Notamacropus eugenii: one gene and its partner. The protein of the gene in region 2 purifies or fractionates together with the protein of the main gene of each other region. This does not show direct contact. Links are inferred from orthologs where the notes say so. Each region holds a gene or a part of one and is shown on either strand. Other genes may lie near its edges.

Evidence for each region. Proteins that work in one complex are often made in the same cells at the same time.
Region 1: the proteins of FBXO22 (region 2) and KDM4B purify together in Homo sapiens (affinity purification with western blotting; 3 studies listed by BioGRID, with this or other methods). This does not show direct contact. The link is inferred for Notamacropus eugenii from reciprocal best matches to the Homo sapiens genes FBXO22 and KDM4B.

Annotation. Positions count from the first base shown.
Region 1 is NC_092875.1:72,444,466-72,451,697, forward strand, and holds the start of KDM4B (lysine-specific demethylase 4B), read left to right. Parts: upstream 1-4,160; 5' UTR 4,161-4,467; intron 4,468-7,232. UniProt on the Homo sapiens protein: Histone demethylase that specifically demethylates 'Lys-9' of histone H3, thereby playing a role in histone code. Does not demethylate histone H3 'Lys-4', H3 'Lys-27', H3 'Lys-36' nor H4 'Lys-20'.
Region 2 is NC_092872.1:255,804,202-255,812,122, forward strand, and holds the start of FBXO22 (F-box only protein 22), read left to right. Parts: upstream 1-4,868; 5' UTR 4,869-4,883; coding exon 4,884-5,440; intron 5,441-6,719; coding exon 6,720-6,852; intron 6,853-7,921. UniProt on the Homo sapiens protein: Substrate-recognition component of the SCF (SKP1-CUL1-F-box protein)-type E3 ubiquitin ligase complex that is implicated in the control of various cellular processes such as cell cycle control, transcriptional regulation, DNA damage repair, and apoptosis.

The DNA of each region.
Region 1 (7,232 bases), on a different chromosome or scaffold from region 2:
GGATTAGATACATTTAGGATCCTGTGAAGATTTCTAAACAGCCTGTGATGCTATACTGAGCTTGCTTTTTTATGTGATTTTGGGAGTCTGGTATTAATTCAATATGAATTTATCCAACTCCCATTTCCATTGCACTTACTTGTAAGGAAACCTCCCAACACATTTGCATGTTAGGTAATGAATATATTATGACAGATTCAGAGCCAGAAAGTCCCTGGGAGGCCACCTAGTCTACCCACCTCATTTTACAGATGAAGAAATTGAGACCATTTTCCCCTCAGTTATGCCTCTGACCCAATCTAGTGCTTCTTCAGTTGTCATGTTACCTCCTCATCTCTATTTCACTATTGATACAGCTGAAATTTCAAGAATTTGTTAGCGCTGTGTCATAATCATAATCAGGAGTGGAACCCAATGTCCTTACCTGACTGCATGTTGTATTCTACTGTGCCTCCTTATTCTTAAGGGGTATTAATCATTTTCAGGTCTCTGATAAATTGCAAATGTTAAGTCAAAAAGTATCAATCCACTTAATGTTTCAAGGTGGATTTTTAATTTACCCCTGTAAATCCATTGTGAAGTTGGTCTGGTATGTGGAATGAACCTTGGATAGGGAGGGAGTCAGAAAAAGTTTGAGACAGTTCTCTTCAGATCCTCATGAACAGCCTAGCAGGAAAGATTGAGCTGTTGATTAAGCCAGATGGAGACACTGAGGGGGCAGTACTTTGCTTTGAAAGCATCAAAGAATGAGGCAGAGCATGATCATTTGGATTTGAACATGTTCAAGGGTCAGCTAATTGGACTAAGTATGTTATCATTTTGAAGGTTTTCATAAGAAATATTTGTAATTATTCATACTTTAATATACCAAAGACCAGTCCAGGAAAAATAAGTTTTGGATTGATGTATAATAAAGAATACTGATTTTTTTTTTATTTGCAGTCAGGGGGATCAGCTTTAAAGAAAAAAATTCCCAAGAAATCTATTTTATTAGATAAAAAATACATAACAAAGAGAAAGACAGTGCAGTATGTTTTAAATATCTTTGTGCCATTTCTTCACTTCCCCTTATACCTTTTACTTAAAGTGTAGTCACTAAAAACTAGAAATTCAAAGCTATTTTTTAAAATTGGAAATGCTATATGCCAGTTGGCTCAATTCATGTACTTCAGCTGGGGATATCTTCCAGAATGTAGTGTAAGGAAAGGCTTTAGGAGGCCTGAAAATAAAAGGCATTGTATAAATAGAAAATTGATAATACACTGCATTGTTTTAAAAACAGCTTTCCTGTGAAGCTAAAAGCCAGTGAAACTGGGCCAAATATTAATTTCCCTTTTGCCAATGTTGTTCAATAGCAGTGGACCTTGTGGGTGGGTACCTATATCTCTGGTGCCCAGTATAGAATAGGCACTCAAGCCCTTGATAGACAAAGAATGTAGGACTTTGAATCAAGAAATCTGGGTCCTGGCCTCACTTAGGTCTACCACTGGGTGATCTAGTTCTAGGAGAAGTCTCTTGCCTGCTCTGGGCCTCAAGTTTATTCATTTGTAAATGAGGGTGGACTTCGGTCTCTCCTGGAACAAATTGATACAAGACTGATACAACTTTAGTTGCCTATCTAATGATAAACATGTGCTTACCCTAAGTTAGGCACAATCCTGGGTACTGGGAATATGAATAGAATAAAATAATGTTTGTTGGAAAGTAGAGTTTACATTTTAATGGAAAAGACAACAAGTACAGGTGAGTGCACTCATAAATATGAAGAGGATACAAGTTAAGTCCTTAAATAAAAGGTTGTTTGGAAGCAGGGCACTAGCAGTTGAGTGTTAGGAGAGGCTTCATGTAGAAGGTGGTTCTTGAGCTGTTTTGAAGGAAAGTGAGAGACGAGATGGCTTATGGTAAAAACAGAAAGCAGCTGGATGGCCAAGGGTGGGAAGGGGAGTAATGTACAATTGGTCTGGAAAACTTGTTTGGAATAAGGTTGTGAAGGGCTTTTAAAAGAGTTGATTGAGAGACAGTAGGGAGCTGAGAGTTGGTAGTGAAGGTAAGTGATTAAGTCAGATCAAAACTTTAAAGAAAATCCCTTTGACCTGCTGAGAGACAACAGGAAGTCTTGAGTTGGTTGAGTAGGAGAGGGTCAAATCACTTTGACTTCTTTGTGTGAGATGGATTGGAGAGACTTTCAGGCTGGGTTGCCAATTAAGGCATTGTTGTTTCTGCAAGTGGTGATGAGGGCCTGAACTAAGGAGGGTAGCTGTGTGAGAGAATGGTTTAGTTCAAGAAATGCTATGGCAGGATTGGCAATTGATTGGTTATATAGGGAGAATGAGAATAAAGATTTAATGACAGTGCTGAGGTTATGAACCAGGAAAGCTGGAAGGATGGTTCCTTCTATTAAAAGTCATGTGTGGAGGAGAGGAGGTTTGGAGTGGGGGAAATGAGTTCAGTATTAGACTTGTTGAATTTGATATATCCAGTTTGAAACTGGTGATCCAGTTGGTGATCAGTATTAGGGGAGAAACAGGCTGAACTTTTAGCTCCAGGAGTCATATTCATAAAGATATTTAAATCCATGACAGGAAAGTGCAAGTTGCATGGGTGCCTAGAAGAAATCTTCAGGGGAGCATTTGAAGTTAGGGAGATGTGATAAGGATGATGAGCTAATAAAGGAGAAGAAATGGGCAGACAGGTAGGAAAACTGTCAAGAATGGTGTCATGAAAACCCCAGAGAGGAATGGGATACTCAACAGTGTCTAATCCAGATCATACAAGATAAGAGTGACTTGGAGAGTGCAATTTTAGTCAGTTGATGAGCTTGGGAAATAGGTGCTATGTTTACAACTGGGGAACCTGAGACAGACAGCTTCAGTGACAGTGACTTGCTCTGGCTGATGTCTGAGTTTGGATTTGAACTCAGGTCTTCCAGAGTCCAAGCTGCTACCTAGCTGCCTCAAAGATTGAGGAATGACAGAACAGAAAGTGAAGGCAACAAACAAATGTAAATAACTTCCTAGAATTTAGCTTAAAGGGAAGCAGGGGGTGATGAGATCGAGGACTAGAACTAGAGAGTATAGTGGGAGCTAGGGAAAGTTTTAATTTTTAGGAATGGGAGAGATCTGGGTATACTTGGAGGCACCAGTAGCTAGGGAAGTCTGGAGGCAGCTGTGGGGAGATTCATCAGGAGGGACTCAAGTTTCTTGGAGAGGACAGTAGGCAATGAGGCTAAGCACACATGAAGGTCTGGCCTTGGCAAGGAGAATCTTTGTCAGTAGGAGATGAGGTCCAGGTGTGTGGAGATGAGAGTGGGAGAAGAGGAAGCTCACAAGGAAAGTTTTCATTTATTCTCAGCAAAGAGGCAAGATCCTCAGCTGGGAAGGGGGATGAGGAGGGATGAGAAGATTTAGAAATAGCGTCAGTGGGGAGATAGGGAGTAAATGAGAATTCAGAAGCAGCATTTGGAGTAGTATGATTGAAAAGAGAAACTGAGGCAGAGTAGTGAGTACAAAGAGCAGTAGACTTGGGAGTCGGAGGACTTGGATTCTGAGCTCATTCCTGCCACTTAATACTTGTATGACCTTGGGGATAGTCATAACCACTGAGTCTTAGTTGGGCCTCAGTTTCCTCATTATGACCTGGGCCTTAAGTCCCATCCCACCCCGGGGAGCCCTCGGCCACCCCGTATTTTCCGTGGGTCTAGAAGGTCTTCCCTTCCCTTTTTCATTTCTCCCTTTTCTTCTCAGGTGCTAAGGCCTGTGCATGCAAATTGAAGAGGTCTCCAACATACAGAGAAGCTCCCATCTCCCCAAGCCCAGCCTGCTGTTGTGCTGGGCATCACGTACTCATTTCTCAGCCTGATTGCAAGGGCGGGGGCTCTACTGAGAGGGACTTGAGTGACAACTGCCAGATCCATTCTTTGCACCTCCAGCTTGCCTTGCAGCCAATAGTGGTTCAATTTCGTGCAACCGATAGGCGGGCCCTAAGGCACCGTTGTCAATCCTAGGCTGTTTAGCCATTGGGTTGGTCGAGAGTGGCTGAATGGTATTTGTGGGGTCCAATGGGAGTGTGGCCGGGCAGCAGGCACGTGGGAGGGCCGGGAGTCCTGCGAGCTAGTCCAATGAGGAGGTGCGGTCTCCCTGGAGGCCTGACCAATCCGTGCCCGAAATCCCTCCTAGCCCACCTCTTCGCTGTGCAAGGGGCAGGGCCTTGCCTTGTTGATCGGCGGAGCGGAGGGGGAGGGGCGGAGCTGTCAGCCGTGGCCAATGGGCGGGCGGGTGTGGGTGCTGGGGCCAATGGCGGCCGGGGCGGTGCGGGCCCTTCGCGGATAGAGCTTCTGCTGCGGTGGGGTCGAGTGCTGGCCGAGCGAGCGAGAGAAGGGGCCCGGCCTGAGCTAAGCAGCCAAAAGCGGCTGGCCCAGCCACCCCGCGACGGACTGACGGAGCTGACGCGCCGGGCGGCGGCCATCAGGTGAGGTCGAGGTGTTGCCTTCGCCTCGGCGGAGGGAGGCCCCAGCTGAGGGAGTCTTGCCCCCCAGCCCCCCAGTCCTGTTCTCTCCGGGCCGCGGCCGCCCCCTCACACCCCCGGGGAGGCGACGCGAGGTGGCGGGCGTGTGGGGCCGAGCCGGTCAAGAAAGGGAGAGCGCGATGGCGGGCCCAGCAGGGACGGAGAGAGCGCGGCGGGGCCGCGGGCCTGCTCCCTGCCGGGGCCGGGGATCAAGCTCTGCCGCCCTAGTGCGTCCCGGGCCCGGCCTGGCTCCTCTCCCCTCCTCCATCGCGGCTCCTCCGCCGCCGCCCTCCCCCGCTCATTGTCTCCAGCGCCCCGCCTGGCCGCTCGGGTCCCCGCGCCGGGGCTGGGGCCGGGGCTGGGGCGTGGAGGTGGGGGCGGGGGCGGTGTCCCCGCTCGGGCCCCGGCCCGGACGGGCTAGCGAGGGGCGGTTAGATGCGTTAACTGCCCCGGCCAATGGGGGGCCCCCTCCCCCTCTCCCCTCCCCCTCCTTTCTCCCGATCCCCAAGCCCTCTCTTCCCAGGCTTCCCCGCCGCCCCCAGGCTCCGCAGCAATCCCCGCCGCCGCGCCGGGCGAGCTGCTGTCCCGGCAGGTCGCCCGCTCGGCCGGGGGAGGCGGGGAACGCGCTGCGCTCGGAGGCCCGGGAGCCTGGTCGGCGGCGCCCGCGGCTGTCACCCGGCCTGCGCCGGTCCGGCCTGGCCCGAGCTGGAGGGGTAGGAGGAGGGGCTGGGACACAATGGGGGCCGCGGTGTCCGGGGAGGGGGGAGGGCGTCGCGCGTGGCCGGTGCGTTCTCTTTCTTTCCACTAAGCCCGAGGGGGAGGGGGCGGGGAGAAGGGAGTTGGGGCTTCGTGGGCCGAATGGTGCCTTTAGCCGGGGTCGCTTTTTGTTTTGAGTAGAGGGTTGGCAGTCCCTCACAAAAGACTCCTCCGGTGACAATCATGGGTGGTTCCAACACATCCTCGCAATTGAGGTGCTATTGAATTTTTTTAAAGCCCGGTAACATTTGGAGAAGTAGGGCCTGACCCCAAAACCGCGGTCGGGAAAGGGGTGTCGCTTGTGTCTGCGACCAAATGGGGGTTACAGAAGTTGCGTCCGTGAAAGTGAGGGTGGGAAGGGCTGATTTCCCGTACACACAATGTATTACTTTTCCAACGTGGACGGATTCGGAAAGGTTGTGCAATTGATACATTGTTAAAATACTTGTAATCTTATGGTGTAGTTTGGGACTGTTGGTCTCTGGGACCGGCGACACAGCTCCCGATGGGATAGACAGGAAAGGTTAGCCAGGCTTCTGCCGGGGTGGAAATTTCAGTGATCCTAGACAGGAGAACTGAGTTGGCTGTTTAAAAATGGTAGTTTGATTTGAGAATCACAGCATGCCGGCTAAGCCTTCTAGCTTGAGATTTAGGAATCCCCGAAGTTGAGTCAATCCTCTGTACTCGTGATAATTGGTTTGAGTTGTTTTTTCGGGGAATCCATAGAGCCCTACTATGAGATTACATGAGGCATCTGAATTTTTCTTCCACATTTTTTATTCTTGTTTATTGGAAATGAGCTAGATAATCCTAGGCTTAACCAAGGGCATGTTGACAGACCAGTGCAAGGCAGTGGATACAAACTAGAAAGATTGGAAAGGATATTTTGAAACTCCATTAAATGTGCATTGAATCATACTGTTAAATTACCACATCAGATTTAAATTTTTTCGTAAAATGGTTATACTGAGTAGATGTACTGCTTATGTTATTTAAAAAGGAAGAAGGATATAGTGAGAAAAGCGTCCAATCTGGAGTCAAGAGGCCCTGGGTTTTGTTGCTCACTCTACCAGATCCAGGGAAAGTCATTCACTTTTTTGCTTTTGTTTCCACATCTATAAAATGAAATTTCTAAGGTCTCTGAAATCTCCATATCTATGATTCTGATTGATTAAGAATAGTAAAAATGATATAAGGTTAGCAGATCCTCTTTTGTGAATATTACCTTGTTTCAGTCGCAGAATAATCCTGTGAGGCAGCTACAGGTATTATCCCCATTTTGCAGATAAAGAAACTGAGAAGTAGTGTTCTCTAGTTTCATGAGGAAAAATAATAGTTTTGCTATGCCTTGGATCATATCTTACTGAATTACTGGGACTTTGAACTTATTTGATTCTCAGACTATGTAGGGTTGTAAAAGCTTTTTTAACTTGGGTAGGACTTGTCAGATCTTGTGTTCTGAATACCCAGAATCTACATATTTTTATATTATATATGTGTGTGTGTGTGTGTATATATATGGATATGTGTGTGTATATATATATGTATGTGTGTATGTGTGTATGTGTCACAGTGAAAGGAGAAATTTGGTAAAAGCTGGATTTAAAAAAATAAAATTAGCCAGAGGAGCCTTCTTACTTTAAACAATTGAATATTTGCCAAGATAGGTAAAGAAATCTTACAGTTTGAAAGGGAAAAAATTGAATAAAAGGAATGGCTGCAAAGACTTTAGGAGTTCACCTTTTTTGTTCCTCTTTGCCAGTCTGGGGAAACCTATTCCTTTGTAGGAAAATATTTTTTACTGCATAAAATACAATATATAGTATTATAAAAGAAACCAATTCCATTGAAACACAGTTATTAAAATAATTTTAAAAACACGTTTATGGACCCAAGTTTAAGAACTCCTGTATTAACCTGTTATCCAGTTATAGAGGTTTAGAGGATCCTGCTTTATTATAAAGGTTGTCCAT
Region 2 (7,921 bases):
AGGCATGCAGCATGAGAGCAAAATGGAAGAGTCCAGAAGAGTGAAGCCAAGTGGGAAGTGAAGAGATGTCTGGCCTGGACACCTTCCTTAAATGGAAATTTTGTTAGGAGCTCTCTGTTCATCCCTCCAATCAGAGGGACCCAGGGACAGAGGGTAATGATGACCTCTGAGTATCAGGGCTGATGTGATCTTGCAAGATGATGAGGTGCCAGGGGTCATGATGGAAAAATCCAAAGGAATGTAGCCAGATGGAAAATGAAGAGGATACCTTGAAATACTGAATCATCAAATGGTCATTACATTTAACAGTTACAAACGATGATTTGGGGAAAATGTTCAAACAGCTTTATAGTTGTTCTTCCCAACATTGTTAGCAACATGAGAATAAAATGCGATTAAATTTGCTCTCAAATATTATTAAGGTTGCACTCATTTGAAGTAGTTGAAACTTTTGTAGGATCAACATTTTTCATTATTTAGTTTATTCACTAAGCTGGAAACTGTCATTAGCCAACTCTTTTTTTTAACAAATCCTGAATTTTAGTATGGGTTTTAGAAGCACAATGTTCCCTAATTCCTCCTCAACCCCTGCCTCCCAGAAGTTTGCCTAGTAGATTTATTTCCACCATTCAGGGTTACTAAATGTGTCCTCCATACCTAGAACAGATGGACATGCTTATTTTGCTGTGACTCCTAAATGCTAACTTCTCAATCCTTACATCCTGAATTCTTTAAAAAGAAAAGTTTGTTTTTAATTCCAATAATCTGGAAATGTAAAAGGAACAATTTCTTCCTTTGGGAATTATGATAGGTTTTCTTCAGTGATTGATTATTCAAGATTCAAAATGTTGTTCTATTGGTTTGGGCGCTCCACAATTATTTTTGTTCTTATTCTCTGTGCCTGTTTTCACTTTTTTCATGTTTAAAAATCCTAATAGATCACAATGCCTAAGACTGGCATTTTAGGGAACACAATCTGAAAACATGATTTCCCATTACATTAGTAAGACAGTTAACACTTGAGAGATAACTGTAAAAATTTGATTATATAATTTTAGAAATAATAAATTTTAACCTAGAATGCCTCATTTTTTCTGCTTATACCCATACCTTCATTGTGACTTGGAATTTCTTGCAAAATCTACTATCATTTTTATATGTCTGTCACTCTGAATAGTATCACAAAATCAAACATAGCATAACTGCTCAATTACTATTCATTCTGCAGAAAAGGCAGTTCAGCCAAAAAGACACTCATTGTCATTGATGAATGAGTGTAGTTCCTAGCTGAATATTGGTGTTAATGACTAAAGACAAAAGTGAACAACACTGTCCTTTGTTGGACCACCATTCATTGGTCAGTGATTCCCATGAACAAACTTCTTTGTTGAATTCTATAATAACTTTGGTATACCAGAACATTTTCACAAAATAAAAGCTACAGATATGACCCACTTTTTTGTTTAATCTGTATTAGTTAACATTTTCTCCATCATATCTTTAGTTCAGACTAGTCAGCAAACTACAGCCCACAGGCCAAACTTGTTTTTGTATGGTCAGGAAGCTGAGTAGTTTTTACATTTTTAAATAAAATTTTATTGTATTTTAAATTGTAAAAAGCACTTAGTTCCCTAGGCTGCATAAAAACAGGCAATATTGGATCAGATGTAGCTTGTCAATCCCTGGTCTAGACAATAAACCAAGCCAATATTTGTAGTGTTTGCTGATTTTCATAGTGTAAATAGTCCCACCGTAGTGGATTTCAACCTACCAACTGAGTGCACTGAGTGCAAAGTTGGGAAAAGATGCATGGTAACATACCATCATCTACTATTTCCACTATGCAGGTACAGTAGACATAAATTACATCAAGAGTATACATAATAAATCTGGTAAAAATTGTTAGGAAGTGAAGAGTTTAGAGTGTTTTATCACCTCTTTTTAGTGTAATTTGCTTAATTATAAATTTAAATAATTTTAAATGGTGGTTGTATTTAACAAGTGGCACACAAAAATCCTGAAAATTTAACAACTAGCTCTGCATACTACTGCTTGTATTCCATCTAATAGTTAACAAAAGGAGGCTTACTTAGCCTTAGAAATGAGAAGATATTTAACAAGGATGCATTTTTGGTTCTGTTGGGCGTGGATTCCCCACCTCTATGTTGTCTATGTCCAGAGACCCATGCTGGAGGGAGGAGCTCTTAGCTCCTGATGCCCTGACATTTTTTGTACCTAAGACACAAGGAAGCTATTATATCAGTAGTCTGAGCCATAACCCCCTGAATCAATTAAAGCCACTTTCAATACTTAAAGAAAATCTGCCATTAGGACAGTGACTGATATAATCCTGACCTCAGGGGTGAAAGAATCCTTTGGAAGAAGAAAAAGAAAAAAAAAAAGACTGCAAACCACTAAAAAACAACATGCAGCAAATAAGCAGTGACCCGGGATGGAGTAAAAGAATGAGGAAGAGAGGAGAGACCAGAAATCCCATGCTACATTCACCTCCCCTCTTCAGAACCACCAAGCCCAGGACCTTGACTATGATGCTAAATCTTTGCAATTGATGCTGCCACTGCTTGAGGCAGGATGATTGTTTCCTTGTGCTGGAGCCTACCAATGATTCCTGTGTTTCTGTATCGAACCCAAGTCTATCTTTTGAGCTATAATCTCATGCAGCCCACTGCCTTTGGGACATCTTGAAAGTAGTGATGTATAACAGTGGGGATGAGCAAAAGCAGCACCAGAAACACAGCACAGATTATATATAGTCACCGATCTCATCATGGGTCAGGTCATCCATAGGAAGATCACTAAGAGGTTGCATTACCAGAGACAGGATCCATACCGAGAATTACCCTGTATCACCACATACTTCATCTATCCATCCTTGCTATTGTCCTATATCTCTTCTCCCTTTTCTGCTAAAGTCCTTGATAAAGCCATCTACATGGATGCCTCCACTTCCTTTCCTCTTACTCCTTCTTAACTCTCTGCTGTCTCTTCTGAACTCATGATTCAATGAAATTTCTTTCTCCAAAGTTACCAACGAGCTATTAATTGCCAATTTTAATCAATCCTCATCCTTTTTGATCTTTTCAACCTTTGACATAGTTGATTATCCTCTTCTCAATACTTCCTTCTTTAGATCTGAAGACACTGTTCTCTCCCGGTCTTCTGGATGTTTGCTTCTTGGTCTTCTTGGCTGGATCTTCATCCAGGCAACATCTATCAGCCATTGGTACCCTGCCCTGCCCCGCCCCCCCCCCCCCCCAGCTCTGTCCTGTGCTCTCTTCTCCCTCTATACTATTTCACATTTAATGATCTCATCATCTCTCATGGATTCAATTGTCATTCTGTGAAAATGATTCTCAGATTTATTGATCCAACCCTAACCTCTCTCCTGATCTCTCATCTCTAACTCCACCCCCATCTCTCCTTCTTTAGTCTCTGGACCCTGACTACCTACAGAATGTTTCAAGCTGGATGATTCTTAGACATGTTAAACTCAATATACTGAAGACTGAACTCAATGTTTCCCCAAATTCTTCCCTCTAACTTGATGGAGGACACCATCACCTTCCCAGTCACCCAGAATGACAACCTAAGAGTCCTCCTGGACTCATCACTCTTTCACACCTCCATATCCAGATCCTGTATTATCTGTTTCTGCAGCATCCCTCCTCTGCACTTCCTTCACCCTGACACTGCCAGCACCCTGGTACAGGCTCTCATCAGCACCACACCTGGACTACTGCATAGCTTCATGGATGGTCTCCTTGCCTCGAGTCTCTCCCCACTGAAGTCATCCTCCACTCAGCTCTCAAACTGAGCTCCCTAAAGAACAAGTTTGATAATGCCATCCCTGGCCTGGTTCAAAAAACTCCAATGGCTCCCTCGTTTCCTGGATGCCCTTTCCTACCTTCCAACCTTAAACCTTCCCACCCCCACACCCTGTACTCTGCGATTCGAGGACTTCCTTGCTGCTGTTCCTCACACTAAACACTCCATTTCCTGACTGGGCATTTTCACTGTCTGCCCCCCCAGCTTGGAAGCCCCCTCCCTCCTTGCCTTTGCATCTTGGCTGTCCTGGCTCCTTCAAGGCTGCTAAAATCTCACCTGCAAGAAGCTCTTGCTCATCCCTCTCGGTGCTAACGCTTTCCCTTCGTTCATGGCCTCCAATTTAAGAGGCCACCTATCTGTGAGGCTGCTGTGTGCCTGAGGCCCCTCTCTGGGTCAGATCAGCAGCTCCGGCAGGGTGTGGTTAGGGGCACTCCTGGGCTGCCCGCCAGTGCTCCTGTCTCCTAACATTCTTCTGTTCCACTTTAGAACTTGGAGTTCTAACGCTGAAGAATAATCCATTCCTGAGCAGCATCACTTGCAAGTGTGCAGAGAACTCTCCATCCGTCATCTCCACTGATGCAGGGCTCTGGTTAAGAGGCTGGCCCAGGGTCACAGGAAGGTTCCAGATGGGATTCGAACGCCAAGTCCAAGGCTGGACCCTTCACCCCTGAGTCCAGAGTCTGGATTCTGATTCTCGGCATCCAGGGCTCCCATTAGTATGGGATGGATTTAAAAAACACCAGTTTAAAAATTAAAGTCAGTGAACGACGGGAGGCGGCTGCGCGGTGAAATCGGGGCCAGTTCTGGACTCGCTGCGCCTCGGTCCCCGCAGGCGTGCACCAGCGCAGGAGGCGGCCGAGCCTCGAAGGCCCGGGTTCAAGGGCCGCCTCCTCCGGCCTAGCTGCTGGGGTCCTCGGTCCCACACCCGTGACCCCGGGCGGAGCCGTCCCAGATGACCCCAGGGATGGAGCGGAGCCGGCTGGGGACCCTTCTATCTGATTCGGCTCCCACAGCAGCCCTTCCAAGGCGACGCTATTATGCTCACCCTCGGTTTACAGATGAGGAAACTGAGGCAGGGCAGGGTCATCCCACTCCTAAGGGTGGGAGGCCAGATTGGGGTTCGGGACTTCCTGACCCCAGGCAGAAGGGCAAACAAGGAGTCACGCCCTGGGGGGGGGGGGCCTTCCAGGACCCCACCCCGGCATAGTCGCCCCCCCACCCCCCCGCCAGGAGAAACGACGGGAGGGCGGGGCACGTGGCAACGGCACAGACTTCACACAGGAAGTGAGGTCGGCCCGGGGCGGGGCCTCCGTGCGCGTCCCCGCCGGGCCCCGCCCCCACCGCGGGCGCTAGCGGAAGTGGCGTGCGTCCGCGCTGGGCGTTCAAAGCGGAGCGTTGGAGAGCTAGCGGTAGCCGTCGTCGCGGCGGACGGAGGCAGGGCCGGCGACGACGGGGAGGCAGCGATGGAGCCGGCGGGGAGCGGCGGCTCCTCCTCCGTGGACTCTCAGGCCGCCTTCGTGCTGAGCAACCTGGCCGAGGTGGTGGAGCGCGTCCTCGCCTTCCTGCCTACCAAGGCGCTGCTGCGGGTGGCCGGGTGAGGAGTCCCGGGGGGCGCGGGGAGGGCCGGGCCCCTCCTCCCCTGCAGGCCCACAGGGCTCCGGCCCGGCCGCCGCTCCCCCTCCTCCTGCCCACGGCGGGCGTGCACGACCCCCGCCCGGCTGCACCTGCCCCGCCCCCCACCCGAGCCGCCGCTGTCGCTGCTGCTGCCGCTGCCGCCACCGCGCGTGCGCGCCGGGCTCAACCGCCGCCTCCCCTCCCCCAGCCGCTCGGGGCCCTGGACCCCGAGGAGCAGAGAGCGGGTGGGGGGAGGGGAGAGAAGAGCCGTGCCCCCACGTGACCCGCGGTCCGCGTGCCTGCCGCGCTGTGGGGCCTGGGCCGGGAGGCTTCCCGAGCGCTTTGACGCCCGCCTCCTCCTCCGCCCCAGGGGTCGTGCGTGGGAGCTCTGGCCCTTTTGAACAAAAATTACCGTAACTGGCGTCTGTATACAGTCAGAGCCCTCCTCACTCCCTATTCACAGATGAGGACGTTGAGGCCAGCCTAGGGCAGACCCGGCTCCCCAGGGGGTGGGGGTTTGGAGTGGGAGGAGGCATCCTCTACCCTTACTAAAGCTTCAAGGCGGCCCTTGGGGGTGCGGCGGGGTGACCTCGGGGTCGGAGGACGAGGGTGGGCTAGGTGTCTGGCAGGTTGGGGCGGGGTTCGATGTAGAGGAAAGAGTGAGCTGGAGAACCTCCAGTGAGTAGGTTGGGATCCGAAGTTCTTGAGGAATAATTAGTCACTGTTATTAGAAACATCAGTAGTAGATGTAGATGTATTTTTTGGAGAGCAGAGATCCTGCAGACAACGAAAATAGTGAAGAGCCTATTGCAGTTCTGTTAAGTGAATGCTAAGGAAACTCAAGGAGGTGCTGTCAGTGTTTGTGGAGAGACAGGACCAAGATGCTGTAGTGAAAGAATCTGAAGCCTTGGCATTTGAATGTAGGGAGAAAGGGAAGAGTCAGGGCGGATGCTAAGGTTTCAAGACCTGGTGATTGGGACAGTGCTTGGTGTTTTCATCCATGCACAAAGAGAATTTACCTGGAGAAATGGGGAGAGATTAATACTGTGTGCCAGACAGGGTGGTAAGTGCTTGATAGTTACTTCATTTACTAGAACAAGAAGTAGTTATTGTTATTCCCATTTGACAGACAGTCCACTTTTGTACACTTTAGAGTTAGAAGTACCAGCTTGACACCCGGGTAGATGGAAATTTCCAGCAGCCAGTTGAAAATGTGGTATTGGGATCTGTTTGGAACCTGTTATGATTTTTTTTTCCAGCGTATCCCGCTTATGGAAAGAATGTGTTCGTCGAACCTTGAGGAGCCAGCAGAGCGTGGCCTGGATCTCCACAATGGAGCCTGGGCCCCCAGAGATGCACTCACTGGTCCAAGTGTTAGCCAAGGAGCTTGAGGCAAGTGTTGGTCAGCCAGTAATGAAGCACTGCATTTCCTGTGGTGTCAGTCTTTAATGGACTGAGATGATGGCATCTTCCTTGGGGTGGTTGTGCTTAAATTTTGTCTCATTTCTTCTTGATGTGTTTATTTTCGACATGGTCACTATTAGTTACATAATTAGCCTTTATGGAAATCTTTCCACTAGCTAAACATGAAATACTTATATGCAGATCATTAAAGTAGAAACTAAGGGAGTTCTTAGTGACACATTTCCAATTAGGTTTTATTGGTCTGAACACACATTTTAAAATGACACAATGATGACTTGATAATAGTTTCTGTGGGAATTGGGCAAAAAAAAGTGTAAGAGAATTGACTTTTTAAAGTCCTAAAGCATGGTAAGATGGGGGCATATTAAGATACGGAGGAGCCCAGATCTATCAGAAACACTTCAGTGGGACTCAGAAATGTACCACTTTGAAAAGAAATGAAAAGAAACACCTATGAACTTTCCTCTCCTATCCAACTCTGAAATCTATAGGGGGACCCAAGTTGTGAAGAGACCAATAGAAAAGTTGGGTTGGGTCATGGGTGGAGTTCAGCCAATCCCTGGAAGCTTTAGACTAGTCCATCTAGGCAAGACCTTAGGGACAAAGAGAAATATAGAAAGCCCCTAGGCAAAATTCAGCTTGAGCAGTCCTTGAAGCCTGTGGAAGGAGTCCAGCAACCAGAGAGAAAGACCCTAGTCAAAGTCTGCAGCAGTGTGAGGTCCTAGAGCCCTGTCACAAGAAGCACATCCTTTTTCCAACCCCTTCCCCCAGCCCATCATTAGAGCAGTCTAGAGTCCCTTAAAGGAGGGGCCTAACTATGCCATATATTTGTGGAGTTTTACCAAGTGAAACACCCTTCACCTCCCACCCTTCAACCTAAATACTGAACTAGAGGAGATGAGCAAATGAAAGTAAAAACAACAGATGCCATGGAAGAACTACCTTGGTTTGAGAGACACACATGTAAACCACAAGGAAAATAACACCTCAATAAGCATAAGGTAAAGCTTGGAGAAATATATCTCTTGGCCATAGG